Canis lupus familiaris: one gene and its partners. The main gene of each other region encodes a partner of the protein of the gene in region 2 in a complex. Links are inferred from orthologs where the notes say so. Each region holds a gene or a part of one and is shown on either strand. Other genes may lie near its edges. The genes, in order: STRADA, CAB39 and STK11.

What was found.
Region 1: the proteins of CAB39 (region 2) and STRADA are in contact, whole or in part, in a crystal structure (PDB 3GNI), measured with the Homo sapiens proteins. The link is inferred for Canis lupus familiaris from reciprocal best matches to the Homo sapiens genes CAB39 and STRADA. Residues at the interface, in NP_001124321.1 of Homo sapiens: Leu26, Glu27, Lys28, Gln29, Tyr55, Gly56, Thr57, Asn58, Ala85, Asp86, Gln88, Leu89, Phe92, Glu93, Lys96, Arg107, Glu138, Leu141, Ile145, Ser176, Thr177, Phe178, Asp179, Ser182, Asp183, Glu221, Asn222, Tyr223, Val224, Arg227; in NP_001003787.1 of Homo sapiens: Pro64, Leu104, Glu105, Cys107, Ser108, Asn109, Val112, Gln116, Leu119, His120, Lys123, Leu124, Phe125, Asn126, Thr136, Phe137, Ile138, Asp140, Asn141, Leu143, Tyr185, Met189, His223, Gly224, Arg226, Val426, Asp427, Asp428, Trp429, Glu430.
Region 3: the proteins of CAB39 (region 2) and STK11 are in contact, whole or in part, in a crystal structure (PDB 2WTK), measured with the Homo sapiens proteins. The link is inferred for Canis lupus familiaris from reciprocal best matches to the Homo sapiens genes CAB39 and STK11. Residues at the interface, in NP_001124321.1 of Homo sapiens: Gln109, Gly111, Thr112, Lys196, Leu197, Leu238, Asp239, Arg240, His241, Phe243, Met246, Ile250, Val280, Ala283, Asn284, Pro285, Glu317, Gln318; in NP_000446.1 of Homo sapiens: Gln100, Arg103, Arg104, Glu165, His168, Ser169, Gly171, Leu201, His202, Pro203, Phe204, Ala205, Ala206, Asp207, Asp208, Phe234, Arg301, Ser307, Arg310, Lys311, Lys312.

Annotation. Positions count from the first base shown.
Region 1 is NC_049230.1:15,211,621-15,219,197, reverse strand, and holds the start of STRADA (STE20-related kinase adapter protein alpha), read right to left. Parts: upstream 4,950-7,577; 5' UTR 4,785-4,949; intron 71-4,784; 5' UTR 1-70. UniProt on the Homo sapiens protein: Pseudokinase which, in complex with CAB39/MO25 (CAB39/MO25alpha or CAB39L/MO25beta), binds to and activates STK11/LKB1.
Region 2 is NC_049246.1:42,966,816-42,973,874, reverse strand, and holds part of CAB39 (calcium-binding protein 39), read right to left. Parts: intron 5,517-7,059; coding exon 5,348-5,516; intron 1-5,347. UniProt on the Homo sapiens protein: Component of a complex that binds and activates STK11/LKB1. In the complex, required to stabilize the interaction between CAB39/MO25 (CAB39/MO25alpha or CAB39L/MO25beta) and STK11/LKB1.
Region 3 is NC_049241.1:58,054,949-58,062,764, forward strand, and holds the start of STK11 (serine/threonine-protein kinase STK11), read right to left. Parts: upstream 4,840-7,816; 5' UTR 4,702-4,839; coding exon 4,412-4,701; intron 1-4,411. UniProt on the Homo sapiens protein: Tumor suppressor serine/threonine-protein kinase that controls the activity of AMP-activated protein kinase (AMPK) family members, thereby playing a role in various processes such as cell metabolism, cell polarity, apoptosis and DNA damage response.

The DNA of each region.
Region 1 (7,577 bases), on a different chromosome or scaffold from region 2:
AACTAGTCTAACAACCGCTTTGGAAAACAGTTTAGTTTCCCATGACCCAATTAAGTCTGCTTTAGGTAATCTATTCAAGAGAAATAAAAACATATGTTCACATAGACTGGTACATGAATATTCATAACAGCAATGTTCACAATGGTGCCAACCTGGAAACAATCCAAATGTCTATCAACTCATAAGTAAAAAAAAAAAAAAAAAAAAAAAACGTGTAATACTACTCAGCAATAAAAAGGAACAAACATAAATACAATCATATCATGTTAAGTGAAAGTCAGATATAAATATACATATTGTTTCCATATACATGAAATTCCAGAAAAAGTAAAAATATGACACAAAGCAGGTCATTGGTTGCCTGGGACCAAGGGTGAGATGAGGAACTAATTTCAAAGAGACGCATAAGAACTTTCTGGGTGACGGAAATTTCTGTACCTTGATTGCATAGTAGTTACACAAATGTATCTGTTGAAACTCAACAAACCATACATTTAATGTAGGTGTGTTTTATTGTAGGTATATTATATCTCAACAAAAATTATTTTAAAAGTAAAATGACTAAAATAAATAATCGGAAATACCTTTGAAGAATCCCTGCCACATTTCTCTTCTTTTTTTTTTTAGGTGGGTTGGAGTTTTGAGGGATTGTGGTAGTATATAGTATAGCAATGGGAATACAAACTTAATCAGGTACATAGAGTTCTTGGAATCCTTTGAACTGCTTAGAAATCAAAGCAATGGTTTTTAATCGAAATCACCTATAGATTTTTATCAAATTGCATTTATCCTCACCCCTATCCTAATCTTCTCATAGAAGATCATCACCATGTTGAGAATCATTTATCCTGGCATGAAATAGTAAAAATATTGACTAAATTTGAAAAATAAAAAGATTATTAGAGTGCAAATTATTTAATAACATTAAACACAAAGCATTGTACAAAAGAAACTTAAGAGGAAACAGGATCCATATCCATTTGTAGTCTATAACAGAAAGAAAATAGAATATTAATGTAGATAAAAAGATGATTGTTATCTGCAGAACTGTCCAGCTCTGGAAAATACTGGAAATAGAAAATAAAGTCAATCCCTAAACACCATATAAATTAATATAACAAACCTAAGAACTGGTCCTAGACTACCACATCAACAGCTTCTTTAATTATCTGAACATTGGTTCTCAACCCAGGATGTGTTTCAAATTAACTTGCATAGTTATAAAAAACCTATGGATGTTCAAACTCCCATCTTCAAAAATTTTTAATTCGGCAAGGTCTGGGGAATGCACAAGCAGAAATGGGCAAGCCCTTACAGTGTTCAGGAAAAGGGAAGATGGTTACTATAAGCTGAGATAGACCTGGATAGTTTTATTGAAGGGGTGGGGCTTCAATGTCAAATAGGAGGAATTCCAAGCATGAAATAGTAGTAGCTACTGATTTTTAGTGCTTACTTTGTTTTGTCCACATGTGTATCTCCCAGTTTCTAGAATAGTGCCTACCTGTCATAGAGTAGGCACTCAGTAATGTTGATTGACTGACCCAAAGTACCGAGAAGTATGTTAGCACTTTGCATATTTTCTCCACTTATTTTTTTTTAATTTTTTTAAATTTTTATTTATTTATGATAGTCACAGAGAGAGAGAGAGAGAGAGGCAGAGACATAGGCAGAGGGAGAAGCAGGCTCCATGCACCGGGAGCCTGATGTGGGATTCGATCCTGGGTCTCCAGGATCGCGCCCTGGGCCAAAGGCAGGCGCCAAACCGCTGCGCCACCCAGGGATCCCTATTTTCTCCACTTAATGTGAGGCCAGTTATAGAAGCACAACTAACTCCAGATAAATGAGAACAATGAAGAGGCCTTATATGCATCGATTTTCTTCAGCACTAGGAAGCCACTGTAGGTTTTGACCAGAATGGTGACAAACACAAAACAGTGGTCTAAGATAGTCTAGTCTCTCAAACTTCATTGTGCATTCAAATAAATTGAGGATCTTATTAAAAGTGCAGGTTTTTTTTTAAAAAAAAGTGCATGTTTTGATTTAGAAGGTCTGGAGCGGGGCCTGGTACTTCTAATAAACTCCCAGATGATGATTATGTCGCTGATCTGTGGACCATCGTACTAATGTTTGAGAAGCCTTGTTCTAGAAATATTCTAAGGAATATTAATCTGCAAAGGGATGGGAGAAGGTAAGGGAATTCTCTGGAATTCCTCAGAGAAAGGAATTCCAGTTAGAACACAATTATATGGGCCATATTTGGTGTGATAAGAGTTGTAGCAGAGGGAACGTTAAGAAACAGATGGATAGGAAATGAAGGGAAAATAAAGAAATTATATTTAGTTAGTAAGGACATCATAAGTCATCTAGCCCATCCTCCACCCTTCGGAGGAACAGCTTTCACAAACTCCTGGATGTAAGATTATTTAGCCTCTGCTTGAAAACTTCCCCAGCCAGAGACTTACTACCTTATCGGGAACCTATTCTACTGTAGACAACTTGAATGACTCCGATTTTTTTTTTCCCAAGTAACTGGGAAAGAACAGTGTGTCAGCGACAAAACAGGAAACTCAGAGGTGGAAGCGGTTCTAGTGGAAAGATGAGTTCGAGTTTTTAAATCATGTTGAGGTTGAGAAAATAGTTATGTATCTCAAGTGAGAAGATATAGCAGTTGGTTAGAAAAGTAAGACTGATGCTTAAGAGACACATTAGAGATGACTATGTGGGCCTGGGAGATAGCGCCAAAGCTATACAAGTGACAAATGCACTGAAAAAAATGCGGAGAGAAAAGCAGAAGGCTGGGAAGCAAGCCTTGGGATAGGTCTATATTGGGGACATCATACCTGAGGGCAGGTAGGAAATGGGAGTCCAAAGAAAAAATTAATTTCTTCCCCTCTTGGACCACCTTTGCTCCCTTGGCCTTGTTACCTTTAACCTGTAGTTCCTTACTACTCATCTCAGGTGTCCTGTGCTACAGAAGTCCTCTCTAACTGCCCCCCGCCTCCCCTTCCCCTACATGTTAGGTGTCAGCCTCCATATTCAACCCTCACACTTACCACAATGCTAATTGCCAATGCATCTTGCTCACTATTGCATTACCAGGGGCTATTGTGCCCAACATATGAGATGGGCACTCCCGTATCTGTTAAACTGTTAATCGCAAAAATAATAAAAGCAGCAAGCATTTATGGTGAACTTACGAGATGCAAGGATCTGTGCTAAACGCTTCACACAGATCAGCTCACAATAAGTACTATCTTCCTCATTTTACAGATCAGGAACTTAAAAGCTCAGAGAGGGGATCCCTGGGTGGCGCAGTGGTTTAGCGCCTGCCTTTGGCCCAGGGCGCGATCCTGGAGACCCGGGATCGAATCCCACGTCAGGCTCCCGGTGCATGGAGCCTGCTTCTCCCTCTCCCTGTGTCTCTGCCTCTCTCTCTCTCTCTCTGTGACTATCATAAAAAAATAAAAAAAAAAAAAAAAAAAAAAAAAAAAAAAAAAAAAAAAAAAAAAAAAAAAAATAAAAGCTCAGAGAGGTTAAATGCCCAAAATTACACGGGCAAGTGGCAGAGGACCAGTTAGATCTGCTCCAAAGCCTGTGCTCCAGCAACCACAGTGATTATAGAGCAGTCCAGGGGAAAGTGTCTACAAAGATACAATGATGACTGACTGAGAAGACATCACCTGATTTGACAGTGCTGCTGACCAGATGCCAAATAGTATAGAAAAGAATTAATTCACCTTGATTTATTATTTTTTTTTCCTTTTCCCCTATTTTTGTCACTGTTTTTCTAAATTTCATCCAGGTCTGCGGTTACAACTACAAACACTAACATCTGAGTCACAATACCCTAAGAAACCTGTTTGAAGGGTTAGGGAATAGACTTAAGTTCAGCACTGTAACAAATGGCTGAGTAGGCTCTTGGCCTAAGGCAGGTAACCAAATGAGACTCAGCTTCTTCAATTCTCAAGAATAAGAAACAATCTTGGGTGTCTTTCAACAGCATGAATCAGTCAAAGAACTGTCCTAATGCCTCAAATACACACTGGAATATGGTTCTACTTCAACAGGTATTATACAGTAAGAAAAGGACCAATTCGAACGGCTTTTCCTTTTTGGGGAAAGTCAAGTTAGAATATGGTAGGTTATCTTAAAAGAAGGCTGGGCAGAAAAATTAGTCCCCCATTTCCTGGAAACTGGAACAATTTTATTTAACCACTCTCCTTTCCTCGCGCTCACTTCCCTACCCCCACCGCCCATCTCCACCCCTAATCTGTGGGCACCCAAACATTCTTGGAAAACAAGACATTAGAAGCTCTTTGTTTTTGCTGATTCAGGGAGTCCCCTAAATCTCTCTCCTAAGGGGGCTTGATTCGCTGCCGGTCCAGCCTGGGAGAGATGGGAATTGGGGTGGTGGGATGGGACAGAAGGTCAGGTCAGCACAGGATCGGCCTCCTCTTTGGACAGGACAAACTGACACCTGGGCCCCAAGCTCCCCACCTAGGAGTCAGGGGGGAAGAAGGGTACGGAAAACAGGCGCTCGCCCCTCTCGCCCGGCATCTCCGCTCCAGGGTCTCCCAGGCAGGCCCAAGCCTACTCTGCTCTCGGGCTGCAGCCCCTCGTTGCGGGAAATCGAGGAGGACTGGGTGCAAAGGGGCCCGTGGAGGGCGAGGGGGCGCCGGGATGGCCGATCTGACGAAGGCCCGCCCCGGAGGAGATGGAATCGGCGTCAGGGCGAGAAGGGACCGGTCCCTGGAGCGCACCAGGCGGCCCCGCCAGCCCGGTACCTGGTCCTGGAGTTAGCAAGCAGTCCCGACCCCGTCTCAGCTCCGCCTCCTTAGTTTAGGGCCGCGCCGCCAGGCCGGTTGCTGGGGGTGGGGGGAGGTACGCAACGTGCCATGCGCAGTAGCGGGACCCGGGGAGGGCTGGAGAGCTCCGCCCCGCCCCGGCTCCACCCCGGAGCGGGTAAGGAAGCCCCGCCCCCGCCCCGTCCCGCCCCGCCCCCGCCCCTACCCCGCTCCCCCCGGCTCTGAGCGCGTCCGGCGTCTCGTCAGCGGCGCGGGGCTCCGGCGGCAGGTCCTCGGCACTCGCCGCGCGGCGAGCGCGTCTTAGGTTCTAGGTTAGCTCGGTCCGCGCGGCGCGCCCCGAGGGAGGGGTCCCTGTCCCTAGTGTGTGGAAGCCGAAGGCGAAGCTGGTCGACAGGGGGCTCCGCGGAGCCTCCCCGCCCCTGCAGCAGGAAGGAAGTAGGATGATCTCAATAATGAAGAGTCGGGCGGGGCGGTAACTAGAGTAAGGCAAACAAACACCTGGCTGAGGATTTAGCTACTTAAGAAAAAAAAAATTTTTTTTCATTTTGTGTGGTAGTACCTGAATGGAAAAACCGTCTCGCACTTTTCTTTGAAGACCTCCCAAACGCCCCTCCAGCCCCAGACTGGCAAACTGCAAAGGGGAAACCCACTCCTTGTGCCTCAGGTTCCTTATTTGTAAAAGGAGGAAAACAGCTCAGCTAACGGAAACTTTTTCCCCCCACTTCTGGATCTTTTTGTCCCTGGATCCTTCCTTGTGCACAAGCCTGAGGGGCATGTTCTGCAGACCCCCGTCAGGTTTGCCTTGAGCGGGAAGCAAGCCTGAGCAGAGTGAGACTCCTGTGGGGCTTCGTCTTTCCAGGGACCTACTCGGGATGGCACCTGTGTCCAAAGTTGGATGGATCCCAGCAAGGATGGGTCACAGGCTCTTCGCAGCTCTGTCCCATGACACAGATTTATACTGGCCCAACTTCCAAGATGAGAGAATTCAGCTACATCCAAACTGAACGAAAATAGGTGAATGTGAACTTTGCCGGTGACTCCAGGACCTCATTCAGTTTTACATACTGATATCACTTTGATCTCATCTAGTGCTTTAATTTTCTAAAGCAAGATCCACGCTGTTCTCTCATTTTCAAAGTAAGAGGCCTCTCTCTGCAGCAAATGGTAAACTGACGAAGGAAGCTGCTAAAAATTGAAGTAAAATTCTTGGTGTTATTTAGAAGAGGACACCTTCTTCACACGTGGTCTTTGGACCACATCTTTTCAGTGCCTGAAAAGATGCCAAATGATGCAGCCACTGCTCTGGGGAATTAGAACATAAAGGCTCTTCCCAGCACACCTATCCCAGCAGCCATGTCATTTTCTAACTGGATGTTAATCTGCCAAGGAGGCCAAAAGGTCTCACCATCTTCACGACTGCCCACAAAAGCTAGTAAGAGAAACTTTAGGCACAGCTTCAGTTGTGATTGTTCCAAGGAGCAAATTTCCATTCACTTTAGTTTTCCTTGCAAAAGGGCCTCCTAAATCCGGATAATTTAGAAAATCAGTGAAATGAAAGGTCAACTTTCAGAGTTTACAAAGACTCCCTGCTTTGTTTTTGACTTGTGATGAGAAAGTTTTGCTTTGAACTCTAGGCATCCAGTTTAAGTGCACTGGCCTCTTCAAGATATCATATAAATTGTCAGAAAGGTAAGGTAACACTAATTGCCTAAGATACTCAAGTGAGAGAAATGCTTATGACTTTTGGTTTAGTGAATTGAACAGGGTTATTTAATTTATAGAACATCTTTTATCTCAAAAGCACATTACACATGCTGTCTTATATCCTCTGAACAGCCATTTCAGAAGGGGGAAAAGTGGAGAATGCCCACTCATGGAGGAGGAAACAGACTTGTTCAAGCACTAGGACGGCACCAGCATCCCTGTTACAAACCCAGGGCTCTTTTCTGAAGCAGAAAGCTGGCTTCTAGCTTTGCTACAAATGTTCTGATAGTTACATAGAAGAAAAAGATGCAGAAGAAAGAAATTTAAGCATTTAAGCTCAAAATGTGATAAGAACTAATCATTTAAAAAGGCCTAGGTGTCTTAAATAAATAAAAGTCCCACTATTTGGATAAAACCAGATGGGTGAAATTTTAAAAGGCAGTTAATTTTATTTATTTGACAGTTAATTTTAAAAGATGAAAATAAAAACAAAATCCATTAAAAGTGGCATAGTAGATGCAAGTTTCTGCTTTTCAGGGGGAAAAAGTCCGTTTTCTTCTGAAATTGGTTATTTTCAGTTAATGGAGCCAAGATGGCATTCAACTTGTTGTCAACGGATTAAAACCCTATACTTTCTTCCAAATGGAAATAAATCTTTCGCTAATCACCAACCTCCAGAAACTAATACTTTCCACTAATTGTTTTAGCAGTCTGTAGTAGAAGCCACTCTTTTGGGTATAACTGCTTCCTCCCTTTTACATCCTTTCAAATCACTTAAAATGAGTAGGAACAGGAACATAGAAAAGAGAATCTGGGATGATAAAATACAGTATTTTACCCATCCCACCAAAACCAATAGATTCTTTGTATAACACTGCTCTAAATAACTTTCATGTGTCTATTCCTATTGGATGGGTGGAATGAGAATACCAATCAGTGATTCTTTGGTCTAAGTCTCATTTAAAGAGTTTCAACTTTTAATCCATGATAGGAAAAGGTTCTATTACTAAGGAAACAGAAAGGTATTATTCCCCAACCTCCATTCCAAAATACCCTGTCATATTTTAT
Region 2 (7,059 bases):
AAACTGCTGGATAGGGTACAGACTGTATACCCAGGAAAGACCTATCTAATTTTTTCCAAATCTCCCTTGGGGATTAAATCGACAAAATTAGAAAATTTGGAGTTTGAGCATCCTTAAGAAGCTGGAAAAGAAATGCCATGAAGCTTCCCTATGTGGGGTAGGAGCTGGAGCAGAGAAGGGAAAGGAGACTTTATATTATCTTAGTACACTGGCCCACAGGGGTCAGCTATCAGGGGCAGAGGTACACAAGAACTCGAAGGGAATGTCAAGCAAGCCTGTGAAGGGCACTTCCTCCTTCTATATGTGACTGTAATCTGTGTGTGGTGACCTCCCCTGTGTAGGAGCCTCAAGGGCAGGGATGTGCATGGTTCACTGCTGAATCCCACTGCCGAAAGAATGGTGCCTGACATGGGGTCGGCACTCAGGCTTGTGGAGTAAGCAGAATGAACAAGTGAATAAGCGAATTAAGGGATTAGTGTGTCAGGATCCATGCAAAACTAAGTGTCATTTCTACTTTTTTTGTGGCTAAATCACTCTGGAGACCAATATAAGGAAGTACTGCAAAAGGAACACAGTGTTCACTGTTCTACCATAATCTAACAGAAGAGAACACCAAAAACTGGAAGGGACCTTACTGCTGGGCTAGTCAATGGCTACAATGGCTCCTCAACTGGGGTTGATTTTAGGGACAGGCAGGTAGAAAATACTGCTCTAGAAAGCAAAGTCCTAAACCCGTGGTGCAACAGATTTTTACTAAAGTTTTGAGTAAGGAAACCACTCTGAAAGGTCTCAAGTAGGAGCAAGAGCCTCACAGCTGGGCCACAGAGGAAACGGGGGGCGGGGGGGGGACACACCTCTAACATCTCTCCGTCTAGGAAAGATTCTATTACCATCTGGTTTCAAGAAACCAGGAAACTTCAGGAAACCACTGTCAATCTAGGAATCAAATCTGAACAGCCTTGAGTTAGGAGAGACCGAGGGGGTACTCTGAGACTGCTGAAGAAAGAGCTGGACTCCAATGCACAGCAGAATGAAAGCTCCTTGTCAAGATGGGCCACACCAGGGCCTGGAGAGGAGTGACATGCTGGCAGGAAAGGAGCAACTGCTGACAGTCAGTACCCAAAATGGCCAATTCTAAGCAGGGAAAGAGGAGGTGGGGACCTGGGCAGAGCCTCTACCTGAGAGATGAAAAGGAAACCTCACCCCACGGGTTAGAGCCAAGAGCTTCAGAGAGTTCAAACCATGGTGGGGGCAGAAATCAACAGAGCAAAGGGAAAAGGTCAGGCAGTCAGTGGTCAGAAATGTGCAAAATTTCCAGGGTGCTATGTGTCCCAGAACACGAGGTGCTGGGTCAGCTAGCAGTGGAGAGGAACAAGATCTCTGCTTTCTAACCTATCTGAATTCTAGTATATCCAAGGCCTTGGGAGGACTGGGAGAAAGGTAGGGGTCATCTCCCGAGCCCAGCAGATTGAGCAGCCAACTTTTAGGGTATGCTGAATTGAAAAAGATTCCTAAAAGTCAGTAAGTTGGGGCCTCAAACACCCTGTGGCAAAGACGGCCCTGGGGTCTTCAAAGAAATGCCACTGAGCCCAGGGCTCGATTTCACAGAGCCTTGGCAAGCTGTACGGCCCAATTTCGTCCTTGATGCTTGACCATGTCCTAGGATAAGGGACTCAATTGTTCCAACTGTGTGGCTCACCTATGGAACTCTTAAGGGTTAGAAAGTTCTCCCTGTGCTAGAGTCAAACCTATCCCCAGGTTATTTTCAGAAACTGTCAGAGCCGACAGAAATAGGTTCAACCCACTTTCTATAGGATCCCACTTCACATACATGTAGTGCTCTCACGGCAAGTCCCTACCGAGTCTTCTCTTCTCCAGGCTAAATACGTCCAAGTTCCTTTAACCACTCCTCGCATGACAGGTTCTGAGTCCCCCTCACCATCTACTGTCTTCTGAAAGTCATCTATTTGTCTATGTGCCTCTTAAAGTGTAGCGCCTGGAATGGAACACATTTATGTGTTGTTACCTTAATGGCTTATAGTGGGGTGAGACCATCATCAGCTCTTTAGGTCACACACTATGTGGTCACATGTAGCTTTGGGGCAGCAGCATCACACTATTTAATTTTACAGGACATATTTAGAATTTTGTTTCCTCAGAGTGGGCTCTGGAGGCAGACTGCCTGGGTTCAAATTCTGGGTTCCCCATTTTATAGCCTGACTTCACCCAATATTTCTAGACTCCTTATCTGTAAAGGAGATGGTTGAGTAGGATATGAAATTGCCTACATTAGTAATTATTATATTTGGCAATTACTGTATTTAATAATAACTGTATTACTATACCTTATTCCCACATCCCTTATTTACAGTTAGGTCCTCAAGTGGAGGGACCTCAATCATCGTCCTATTCCATTCTGACCTCTCTGGATCTCTACGAAGCCTTATTTTAGGATCACCATTGTCTGCTATCTTTTCCTTCACAGCCATCACCTACACATTTGATAAGCAGGCTTTGTCACCCTTTATCTAAGTCATTAACAATGTTCAGCTGGGCTGAAATAAAGCCCAGTGGAAATCCACCAGAAAATTCTCTCCAGGGTGATGGCAATCCATTCCCTAGCACCTTATGGATATGGCATTCAATTAGATGTAAATAACTACACTGAAACTCCAGCTCCTATCTTCACTGATTCCATGAAAATACAATTATTCAACATTCAGCATATCCTCATGGCCATAAAGGAATAATTCTAATAGCTACTGTTTGCTGCACACATATTGTGTGTAGACACAATAACCCTGACATACTAGCATTATCACCTCCATCTTAACAGATGAAGAACTTGAGATGAAATCCACAGCAGAGCTGGGAAATGAACCCAGGCAGCCACACACTCTTAGTCCCCTCATCTACTGGCATCTATGAGATTAATATGACTGAACTTACTCTCTTCGTGAATCCATGCTGGCTGTGGGTACACGGTTTCCTTTCCAAAATGCTCAGAAATCATCTCTTTAGAAATACTTTCTAGAACCTTACACAGGTATAACATCGAGCTCCAAGCTCCACCAGCCTCTCTGGGGAATCTACCTTCTTTTATTCTGGAAAAATTGGAAATATATTTGTTGGCCTTCTGATGCCCCTCCCCATCTCCTTAAGTCCTCAAAAAAGAAAACACGAACAACATTTGGCCACTGATTTACTGTCTTAGTACACATTCATTCAACCTACAAATCTTGGACACATTTACAGCAGGTAGTTTTTTTTTTTTTTTTTAATATTTATTTAAGTAGTCTCTGAACCCAATGTGGGGCTTGAACTCACGACCCCAAGATCAAGAGTCGCACACTCTTCCAACTGAGCCAGTCAGGTGCCCCTGGAGCAGGTAGTTTTAATTTCCTTTTGAGACTCAGCACCTGTTCCACAGACTTTAAATTTGGGTTTGCGGGTGAGCTGCATCTGTCTGAAAGTGCAGAGACCGTTTCTGGAGAGCGGGGTATGGTCATATTCTTTGAGGACAGTATGAGACACAGATCTATCCCCCTTTCCTACTGTCATCCTCTCTCTTCCCAAGTCCATCCTTCGAATCCTGCACTGTGTCTGCAAGTTTCCTTCCTTAGGTCGACACCACCTGCCCAGCACTGCCCCATTCTCCCCTTCTCTGGCTAATATGACCTGGCAGGATTGCCTGACCCACAGTGATTCCATCACCACCACTTTCTCCTTAGCGAGGATGTAATTCAAAGCAGCAGCCCTAACCGAGGGCTGATAACGAAATTATCAGTAAGGCCAAGCAAGACTGTCCAATACTGTGAATCACATCTCTGGCAAGGTGTTAACACATCTCTCCCACCTGCTGGCTGGGTGTGCTACCTTGGCCAGAAGCATGGCATGGAGCACGCCCCTCCCCGGGTCAGGGTCTGACTGTGCTCCCAACACTGTGGCCGCTCCTCTCCTCTTCCTCCACCTGCCTCTCCCCCAGAGGCTACTCTTGGCTCATGGCTTGCTTTCCACACAGGAGGATCTCACCACAACACATGGTGCTACCATACTTCCCTCTGTAACAGGCCTGCTGCTTTTGAATGGGCATCCCCTTCCACCAATATATCCTAATTATGAGTCCTATTCCCAAAATGCAGAGATACAAAAGACACCACATTTATTACTCTGCTAGAACCTGGCATTCAGTTCATTTAGCTTTGTACATTGACACATAAACATCTGAGATCTTACCTAGGGCTTCCGATATCCTCTTTAATGGTTTCAGGAAAATAAATCCTTAGGCACCTCTCACACTATTACCATATTCTCGTTCCATGTGAAACCCTAATGGCCAGGTCCCCAGGTTTTCATCCTGTTTCAAGGGTGTTCATTCACTGTAAGGAACGTATTTTACCCAGAGACCAAGGCGTGTGCTCATTATCTCAAGGGCTCTTTACCTTCATAAAACTGAAATCTCATGAGAAAAGTGGCTACTTCTCACTAAAACAGTGTTCATGGTTTCTTAGCAAAGTAGTCTTCAGGTTAGTATATTAAATTCTGATTACAGTAAAGTAGCAGTTCTAAATATTCACTCATAAGGTCATTTTACATAAGGGAATGGAACATCTAAAGGCTTACTTTAATTATGAAGAACACTAATAAATATTACTGCCTATATACCATAAACAGCATAGAACCTTACAATTCAAAGCAAAAATGTGCATGTTGTACAGCAGTATCATATCATATGTGTATTTAATTTATACAAATACAGAACAGGAGATAAAGTATACAGGGAAGGGAGGCTACATAATAATTTGAATAGGGCAGGTGATTCTGCTCCCCTTTCCTGAAGTATTTGATAAATAAGTTTTGGCATGAGTAGGAGACCTAAGTCCATTGTTCCTTTGGGCCTAACTACAACATAATCTCTTTGCCCTGATTGTGGTTCTAGTATTAAAAGACATGCCTGTTCCAAATCAGCATGGCTCTGAACAGATGACAACTTTGGTGTTTAACCAAAGAAATTGCTGTAGTATGTTCCAACACAGGAGAAAAACCTGTTTATTAGACGTACTGTATATCAGTATACCACACTTGGTAAGTAATTTAACAGAAAAGTGTACTTTTGACCATACAGACCATACTTTTAGATAGAGGTTAGAATCTATCTCTTCCATCCTTTTTAAGCTGTGGCTCCACTGCATTAGCCTAAGTCGCATGGACACACATAAAACATATCTTCTCTCTTCCCGCTAGAGGGCAGCCGTGTATAGACTTAGAGGTTAGAAGTTTAGGGAAAAACCGCAAACCAGTTAACTGGACTTACAAGTATATTTAGAATTCTATAGTTTCATGTTACCTTGAATGTGGCAAATGCATCTGAAGCTATGTCAAATGTTGACATTTCGACATATCTGAAGAAATCATAAAATTGTTCTGACCACAAAATGATTTTTGCAAGTGGTTCATGTCTGATGCATTCTCTCAACATTATTCCACAATTTAGAGCTATTTCTGGAGATTCATACCTACAAAAAGAAAAAAATAAATCATGATTGCTGTTTTAAAACTCCTCTAATGCTGAACAGTTCAAATTTTTCAAATAGATGTCTCAGATGTGTCTTAATTAAGTGACTAGAGCAGGTTACAAAAGACATCTCTCTCAGAGTAGGATATATGCTCAGGTGAATTTACTCTAGAATGCACACACACATTAGCTGGTGACAACTGCTGCAGTCCAAAGGAAAACAAAAATATAGAAATAATAATAATAAATAAACATTTATTATTTAAAGCTAAAAGATTTGAGTATTTAGGGTCACACCTCCAAACAGGGGTTAGTTTTACATGTGGTGCTCTAAGACTTCAGAAATCAAAAACTATTATGAAACAAATAAAATCGTTTCCCAAACTCATGGTACCTAAATAGGTCTAACAAATATATAGCATTTATACCTCATTGTTTCAATTCTATACTCAAAATAGAACCTTCAAGACTCTTGGCAACGTGAACCCCACAAAATTGAAAGCCTAATTCTGAGGAGGTTACCAGGTGCTTATCAAGGAGAGCCTGGAGAACTCTTGTGGTGGGTGTTGGGGACACCCTGGCATCAGTCACGCACACACGTCTGTGGCTCAGCTCGGTCAGAAAGGAGCCCCCACTCCCTCCACCCCCGTCTTCCTCTTAGCCCAGCCGCCTGCTCCTCTCTGAGGGGTGCAGACTGGCCTTGGCCCCTCCACTGCCTTTTGGGGCTGCAGGTGCAGCTTTGTGTCTTTCGAACATAGAGTCTCCTCCAATCCTCCTGCTGCATTCTCTCTGCCTTTCCCAACATTCTACTTGCAAAACACCTTCTCTTGGCTAAGCCAAACTTCTCTCACAACATAAATTTTACTTAGTGTCCCAACAGTGCCGACCTTTGCATTTATGTCTTTGAAAAAGGAAAGAAAAAGCTCTCTCAGTTCTTCTTTCTACTGCTCGAACTGTTCTTATTTCTTGCAGGGCTGAGGGCATTCCTTCCTCCAGGGCTGCCAGCTTGCTAGTGAGCAGCCACAGCACTTCATGGCTCCCACCGGGACTAAATTCCCCTACTCTCATCTGCTCCTGGACTCTAGTTAGGCATTTTCTGTTGCCTCTGGACAACTTCAGTTAAAGGTCTACCATAAGCACTACCCTATCTAAATTCAAATCTTCTCTCCCTTTGCAAAACAGCCACCCTCCCCTGCTTCCCCATTTCTCTAATTTGGCACCACGATTTTGTTTCAGATGCCCAGGTTTAAAACAGGTCTTCCAGAACTTTCTCATCTGACAATGGAAGTGTTCTATACCTGTGCTGTCCACTTCGGTAGTTACTACTAGCCACATGTGGCTACTAAGCACTTGAAATTTGGCTAGTATGACTGAGGGATTGAATTTTAAATGTTATTTAACTCATTTAAAACGAAATGATGGAGTATGGTTAGTAGGTACTGCATTGGACAGAACAGTTTACATCTTCTCCCCTTCAGCACCTCCAACCTTCCCATCTTCGGTGTCCCCACCCATCCTTTTAAAGACTTCTCTGAAATATTTTA
Region 3 (7,816 bases), on a different chromosome or scaffold from region 2:
TCCATACACCCAGGCCTGGCACACGTCCCGACGGTCCCCAGAGCCCAGGGTGGCCCTGAGCTCCCACGGTTCAGAATCAACTCCCCCTCCCCCCACAGGGACCGACCAGACATTCAGGGAGGCCCCGGGCCCTTGGCCGTGGGTGTGCGCGCGGACAAACCTCGCCCTCCTGCTGCCGCCTCTGGCGGCCGGCCAGCCTGGGCTCCCCGTGGAACCCTTCCCAGGACGGGGCGGGGGTGGGGAGGGACAGATGCTGGGACCTTGCAGAGGCCACTTGGGACAAGAACAAGAGCCGAGAGTCCTGGGCTCTGACTGTGGACTGAAAGCCCAATCACTCACTGTCCAGATCCAACTATGTGCCCATCACCACAAGGCGGTCCCCGGCCTCACTGACGCCCCAGCCTGGAAACCCACACCTGCTTACAGGCCACCGCCGCCCGCGAGGACCCGTGCTCCTGGCCACTCAGGACCGAGAATCTGGTTGGAGGAGACCGGCTGGGGACGCTAGGGGGACCGGCACTCTGGACATAGCTTATCAAACGCACACGTGCTCCCTTTGACCCAAAAACTCCACTTGAGCTGACATGCCCTTCAAATACCCTTGCACTTGCAATGGGACGGGAAAGCAAGGAATTCCCCAACGCAGCACAGGAGCCACCAGCAGGAGGCAGGTGAGGCCTGACGGTGGAGCGCTGCACCCCAACAAGGCCGCCATGGGGATGACCTAGAAGCCTGACATTAGAAAAGCAAACTGGCTGGGCCGGAAGGGCAGGGGTCCAAGAACCACGCCTGAGAGGCCACAGTGACTGCCCCGCGACTAGACGGCGGCAGCGAGCAGCAAGCGATTTCCACATTTCTCAACAGCCGACAGAAGAAAACCCCACAAAGGACAATGTTTTGTAACACACGAGACTGAAAAGTGAGTCGTGGCGTCTGCACACTGTCGTGGGTGCAGCCACTGGGTCACACACCTGCGGCCTGTGGCTGCCTTCCCGCTGCTCCAGCACGGACGTGCAGCAGTCCGAGGCCTGCAGGGCCCAGCCGGTTTACTACCTGCCCTGTGAAGTGCGCCAGCCCGGGGAAGCAACTGTGCAAAAGGGGAAGAACGTGCAGTTTTGCCTATACCCGCACAAAACCCCACGGGCAGGACACGCGGCAGCAGATCCCCCTAGTGCCCCGAGAGGGGAGGGAGTGAGGGAGACTCCACAAACGTTTGCCTTCTTCCCAACTCTTATGGGTTCAATCCATGTGATTCTGCTGCCTGTCAGAAAAACAAGTGAACATGACTTATCTTCTACAAATGATGCGGGATAAAAATACAACAATAAAAACGATGAGGGGTGACTGGGTGGCTCGACCAATGAAGCATCCCTCAGGTCACGATCCTGGGGTCCTGGGATGGAGCCCCACATCGGGCTCCCAGCTCAGCAGGGAGTCGGCCTCTCCCTCTGCCCAGCGCCCTGCTCATGTACGCGCTCAAATAAGTAAATAGGGATCCCTGGGTGGCGCAGCGGTTTGGCGCCTGCCTTTGGCCCAGGGCGTGATCCCGGAGACCCGGGATCGAATCCCACATCGGGCTCCCGGTGCATGGAGCCTGCTTCTCCCTCTGCCTGTGTCTCTGCCAATCTCTCTCTGTCTCTCTCTCTCTCTCTCTCTCTCTGTGTGACTATCATAAAAAAAAAAAAAGGTAAATAAATACAATTCTTTAAAATAAAATTGGTGAGTCTATAAAAAGTTTTATCTATAAAAAGATAAAAAAAAACTTGAACACATATGACAAGAGAACATGTTCTGAATTCATGACTGATATATATATTTTTCTTACTTGAAGCTTTCTGAAACTCTCTTGCTGTATAAAAACATGCTAGCTTCAAGGAGCATGAGGAAGAGGGGGGCAAGCACAGGCCCACAGCAGTTCTTGGGAGAAAACCACACAAAGTGGGCACGTCCTGAGCCTCCCCCCAAACTTGATCACAGACGTCATTTTTTTAAAAAAAGCTTCTAGTCCAAGCTGGGACTCCTGAGGCTTGTCTGGAAGGTTCCGGACACTTCACTTGGGAAAAAGCAATTGGAGTTTATTAAGCCTCTCGAAGACAAAGGAGCCTTTTTTTCCCTGCAGCCGGCTGGCAGCAAGGCTGACCCGGGAGCCCAGACCTCCTCTTGCAAGGACACCCCTTTCCTTCTCATGAAAGCCGGGTCCTGAGCTGATGAAACGGGCCAAGTGCCCTACCACTGTGACACCTTATGCCAACTGCCAAGCCAGCTGGGGACTCCCAACACTGCACCTGCCAGGCCTCAGTTTCCCCTCAGGTTCTTCTGATGGACACTGCAGGACCGAGCGCCCTGCAGCCCCAACACTGCACACCCAGATGTCTCCACCAGCTCTGGGGGCCTTGCTGACCATTCAGGAAAGCAGAGACTGGGACGCCAGCGCCCGTCAACCCCCCAGTCAGGTTCTGGTCATGTGTCTCCATGGAGCATCAGGGAACTCTTGTAGGTGGCAGTCTGACCCTGGGTGTGTGCCGTTTGTCAAGTCTCACACCGCGCGTCATGACCGAGTGCCCGCACAACAGGTACGTTGTGCCTCAGCATAGACAGGCATGTGTCCACCGCAACAGGGGTCCGCAGAGTCCTGGGGCCTGCTCCACTCTGCTGCCACCAGCCGCCCCAGAACCACTAGCAGGGTGGGCTTGGGTGCCCCAGCCACAGGTCAACTGGTGCTAGAACCCAGCCCTAGCCCTTGAACGGGACTCACGGATTCTGGGAACCTCGAGGCGCTGCTCCCAGAAGGCTGGGGTCTGGGGAAGCCCCAGCAGCACGGAGCAAAGGAGCCAGCACCCGAACATCTGCACGGACCCGGCTGCCTCCAACTAGCAGGGAAGGGACCGGCACCCTGCTGCCCACACATATCAGGGGATGAGACTGAAGAGGAGCCAGGAGGACCAAGGTGGACCTGGGACACTGGGGGAGGAGCTGTTTCCAGGGCAGGAGCTCACTGTCCCCCACCCCACAAGGGTGGCAAACAGGCAGCCCGAGGCCACATAACTCCCAGGTGCGTCTGGCTTAATGAGCCAACAGGACTTAGAAGCCAGGGGTTGAATGGGGATTTCTGACTGGAGGTGAGGGTCACCTGGACCTCAGGGGGTGCTGGCTTGCCACCTGCCTCAGTCTCCCCCACCCCACCTCACAGGTAAGAGGCTGGCCCCAGGGCACCCGGCCATCCCTTCTCGGCGCCCACAGGCTGGGCGACCAATGAAGCATCCCTCAGGTCACTAGGGATAAAAAGACCTCGCCACAACACCGCCAGGCTTGCCTTCGGACCGCACGGGAAGACGACCGCCCCGGCCAGCTGCGCATCAACAGCAGAGCCAGTCCGGTTTGGGTTCCCCGTTCCATCCACAGCTTCACCACGCCCAGACCCAAGCCAGCCCGGAGCGAGGGAACACAGCTCAGCTTCTGCGTGAGAGCCAACCCGGCCAGGAAGGGGGAGGTGCACGCGGATAGGGGAGCAGCACTTTCCAGGATGGGCCTGGAGGGACGTCCAAGGTCGTCAGTCCTGCTGCCTGGCCCGAGAGATAAACCCCTTCTGGGAAACTGGAGGCTGGGAGGAGCAGGAGCCCAGGCGGGGCGGGGACCCAGTGGGTGGCAGCCATGAGGAGGGACGCCCCCTCCTGAGATCAGCGAGAGGGATGGAGACGCACCCCCCCCCCCCGCCCCATCCTTGGGGGTTGGGGAGACTCCAGCACAGACTTCAACACCTCTGCGACGCCTAGGGGCTGACGCGCCTGAAGAAGTTTGGGTAAAAAGTTTGCCAGGACACAATCTGGTTCCTCTCCCAGGGAGTCACCTGGGCCTGCAGTCACGGATGTGTCTGGTGTCACATCCCAAGTGAGTAAGAAAAGGCTGAGTTACCCCCTGCTGACCGATAAGCCAGGGCAAACAATTATTTTTGGCAACCGCAGGGCTCCCCTCCAACAGGGTAAACAAATCGCATTTCGCCTGGCCCTAGTAACAGCTGCACGCTGCGCTGCGCAGAAAACCTGCTGGTGGTGGCCAGGGCCGTTTAGGAACACAAATTCTCAGAGCCAAATAAACATTGGCTGGTTACACTGGGCACCTAAATTCTTTCGACAGCTGGGAGGGTGAAGGGGGGGGATGGGACGCACCCTCATCTGGAAAAGGCTTGGACGCCAGCATCGGAAGGAAGGGGACACCCAGCTGCCGCAAGCTGGCCTGACTCGCCGCACGGTACCTGAGCAGGTTCCCAACAACACCTGCCCTGGGGAGGAGGACACGGGAGCTGCCCGGGCACCTCGACAGTTTAAGGAACGGGAACAAGCAAGAAGGAAAGGGGGGAGGATGACCGACCTTGCTGGCTGCCCGCGCAACGACCCAGGAAGTCCACACTTACTTCTTGACGTTCGCCTCGCCGTTGGGGATCCTCCGCAACTTCTTCTTCTTGAGAATTTTGACAGCCCTCCTGCACAGCGTCTCCGAGTCCAGCACCTCCTTCACCTTGCCGTAGGAGCCCTCCCCTAGCAGGTCTCCCATCAAGTACTTGCCGATGAGCTTGGCCCGCTTGCGGCGGGGCTGGTAGATGACTTCCGTGGAGTCGATGCGGTGGATGAACGTGTCCATCCCCACGGACATCAGCTCCCCCTCCGTAAACATGCCCAGCTGCTGCGGGTCGGCCACATCCATTCTGGACCCAGCGCCTCCGACTGTGGCCGGCGGTCCCTTATCTCCCTTATCTGCTGCCCCTGGTGCGCGGTTCTTCCTTTTGTCCCCCTAAAATTCCCTTCTCCAAAATAAAAGGCCCGAAAACAAACCCTCCCTCCCCCCCCCCAAAAAAAAAGTCAACAAAAATGCAAAAAAAGGAAAAATCGAAAAAAAAAAAAAACAGGAAAACCCCTGTCCGGAAAGAAACGATTGTACTAGTCGTGAGTTCAAGAGGCGCGCGTGGCCCGGAGCCCCGGCGGCCGCGGGCGCGGGGCGTCGCAAGTCTGGGTGCCTGCCCGCCTCGCGGCTGCGGGCCGGGCCGGCGCGTCCACGGGGGCCCTCCGGAGGCCGGTGGGGCTTCCGAGCGCTAGGTCATCCTCCAGGGACTTCAGACCCTCGGACGAGCGCCGCTGCGGCCGGGCCGAGTCCCCTCCGGGCCGGGCATCACCAGCGGGCCGGGGCGCGCGCCCAGACAGGGCCCCGCGGCGACCCGCCGGCCCCCGGGCCCCGGGCTGCGCAGCCGAGCGGTGCCGGCGGCCGGGCGCGCTGCTGGGGGCGGCTCCCGGCGGGGCCCGCCGTCCCGGGGGCCCGAGGCCGCGGCGGGCGCCTCTCCGGACGGCGCGGGGCGCAGCGGCGTCCGCCCCCGCCAGCCCCGGGCGCGCGTCGGGGGGCCGGGGGGCTGCCCGGGGCCCTCCCGCCGCGGGGAGCAACTTCCGTCGGAGCCGGCGCCCCCGCAGCGGCCGCCCCCCGCCCCAAACGGCAGCCCGCGCTCGCTCTCGGCCGCGAACGCCGCCGGCCGCGGGCCGCGGGGCGCGGGCACCCGGAGGGCTCCGAGCGGCCGCGGCGGCGCAGGCCGAAGGCCCGGGCCGGGGCTTCCCGAGGCCGCCGGGGCCCGGACGGCGAGCGCCCCCGCCGCAGCCGCCGCGCGCGTGGAGCAGGCGGGGCGGCGCGGGGGCCCAGCCCATGCAAGGCGCCGCGGAGCCGGCCGGCGCCCGCCGCCGCCGCCGCCGCCGCCTCCCGCGCCCCGCCTCAGTCGCGGACACCCCGGGCCGCCTCCCCCTTCCGCGCCCGACACGCCGCCGCCATCTTGTTTACCTCCCGCCCCCGCCCTGCGCCGCCGCGCCGCCGCACGCCCGCCCCTGCCGCCGCCGGCGTGCCCGCCCATTGGCTGAGGCGGCAGGCCCCGCCCCCGAGGCCCGCCCCGCCGCCGCCGCCGATTGGGCCGTTTGGACCCAGGCGGGCGCCCAAGTGGGGATTGGCTCACCCTCGGCCCCGCCCCGGGGGCGGCTACCGCTCGGCTCATTGGGCCGCCGAGGCGCCCGTCACGGGGAGGCGGGGCTGGCGGGAAGCGGGCGCGCGGGGAGTCGCTGCGGCGGCTCGGCCTCGGAGGGGCGCGGGGCGGCGGGCGGGGGTCGTGGGCGACAACGGCCGCCTGGGAACGGCTGTGCGGCGGGCAGCGCGCCCGCGGGCCGGGGGACTGGGCTCGGGGGCCCCGGGGCCACGCGGCCGGCCAGCGGGCGGAGCCTGCGGGGCTGGGCGGGGGGGGGGGGGGGGCGTGAGGTCGACCCCGCGCGGGGCGTGGAGATGACTCCGAGAGTGCCCGGAGCGGTCCGTTCGCGGCCGAGGGCCCGTGCCGAGCGTCCCCGGGAGCTGGGGCCGGGAGGGGGGGGCGGCAGCTCGGCAGGCTGGGCTACGCGGGCTGGAGGAAGCCCCCGCGCCTCCCTTGCGGCGGGCCGTCCTTCCCCGCCTTTGTGCCTTCACGTCCTCCGAGATTGTGTTCCCGGAACCGTCGGCCCGTCCCGCGTGAAGCTCGGACTCGCCCCAGCCCGGGCCTGGGGACTGGGGGCGCTGGCACTCCGGGGTGGGCTGCAGGCCGCGGTTCTGAGCCCAAGACCTGCCGGGTACCCACGGCCGCGTGCGTGAGGCACCAGGGGACAGCGTGCGAGGGACAACGTGCACCGAGGGACAGCGTGCACCGAGGGACAGCGTGCGAGGGACAGTGTGCAACAAGGGACAGCGTGCAACGAGAGACAGCGTGCGAGGGACAGCGTGCACCGGGGGACAGCGTGCAAGGGACAGCGTGCAACGGGGGACAGCGTGCAACGAGGGACAGCGTGCAAGGGACAGCGTGCAACGAGGGACAGCGTGCAAGGGACAGCGTGCACCAAGGGACAGCGTGCAACGAGAGACAGCGTGCAACGAGGGACAGCATCCACTGGGAGACAGCATGCACTGAGGGACAGCGTGCACCGGGGGACAGCGTGCGAGGGTCAGCGTGCACCGGGGGACAGCGTGCGAGAGACAGCATACACCGGGGGACAGCGTGCACCGGGGGACAGCGTGCACTGAGGGACAGCGTGCGAGGGACAGTATGCACCGGGGGACAGCATGCACTGAGGGACAGCATGCACCGGGGGACAGCATGCACCGGGGGACAGCGTGCTAGGGACAGCGTACACCAGGGTACAAGTGCAATGAGGGACAGCGTGCAAGGGACAGTGTGCACCAGGGGACAGCGTGCACCGAGGGACAGCGTGCACCGGGGGACAGCGTGCACTGGGGGACAGCGTGTGAGGGACAGCATGCACCGGGGGACAGCATGCAAGGGACAGCGTGCGAGGGACAGTGTGCACCAGGGGACAGCGTGCACTGAGGAACACCGTACACCGGGGGACAGTATGTGGGGGACAACGTGCATGGGCTTCACCCCATTCCCGGACCAAGGACATCTCAGAGATCAGGGCGGAAAACCATCGGGGAAAACCCATGAGACCAAGAAATTGTTCTCTGAAAGGATTTTGAAGAAAATGACGGACCTCAGACCAGATTGGCCAAGAAAGAGGAGCGACGTCAAGAATGACCGAAAGGATGTCCCTACAGACGCCGCAGATATGATAAAGGATCGTGTACTGGAAACAACTCTGTGCCAGTAAATCCAACATCCTCGTTGCGATGGGACAGCACCGTGGAGGACCCCAAGACGAGAGCTCCCTCAAGAGGAAATAATCACCGTAATCTCAGAATGAACGGAAACCTGCAGTGAAAATGTTTTCAACAAAGACAAGGAAGGCCTAGACCTTTCGTTGGTGAATTTCCA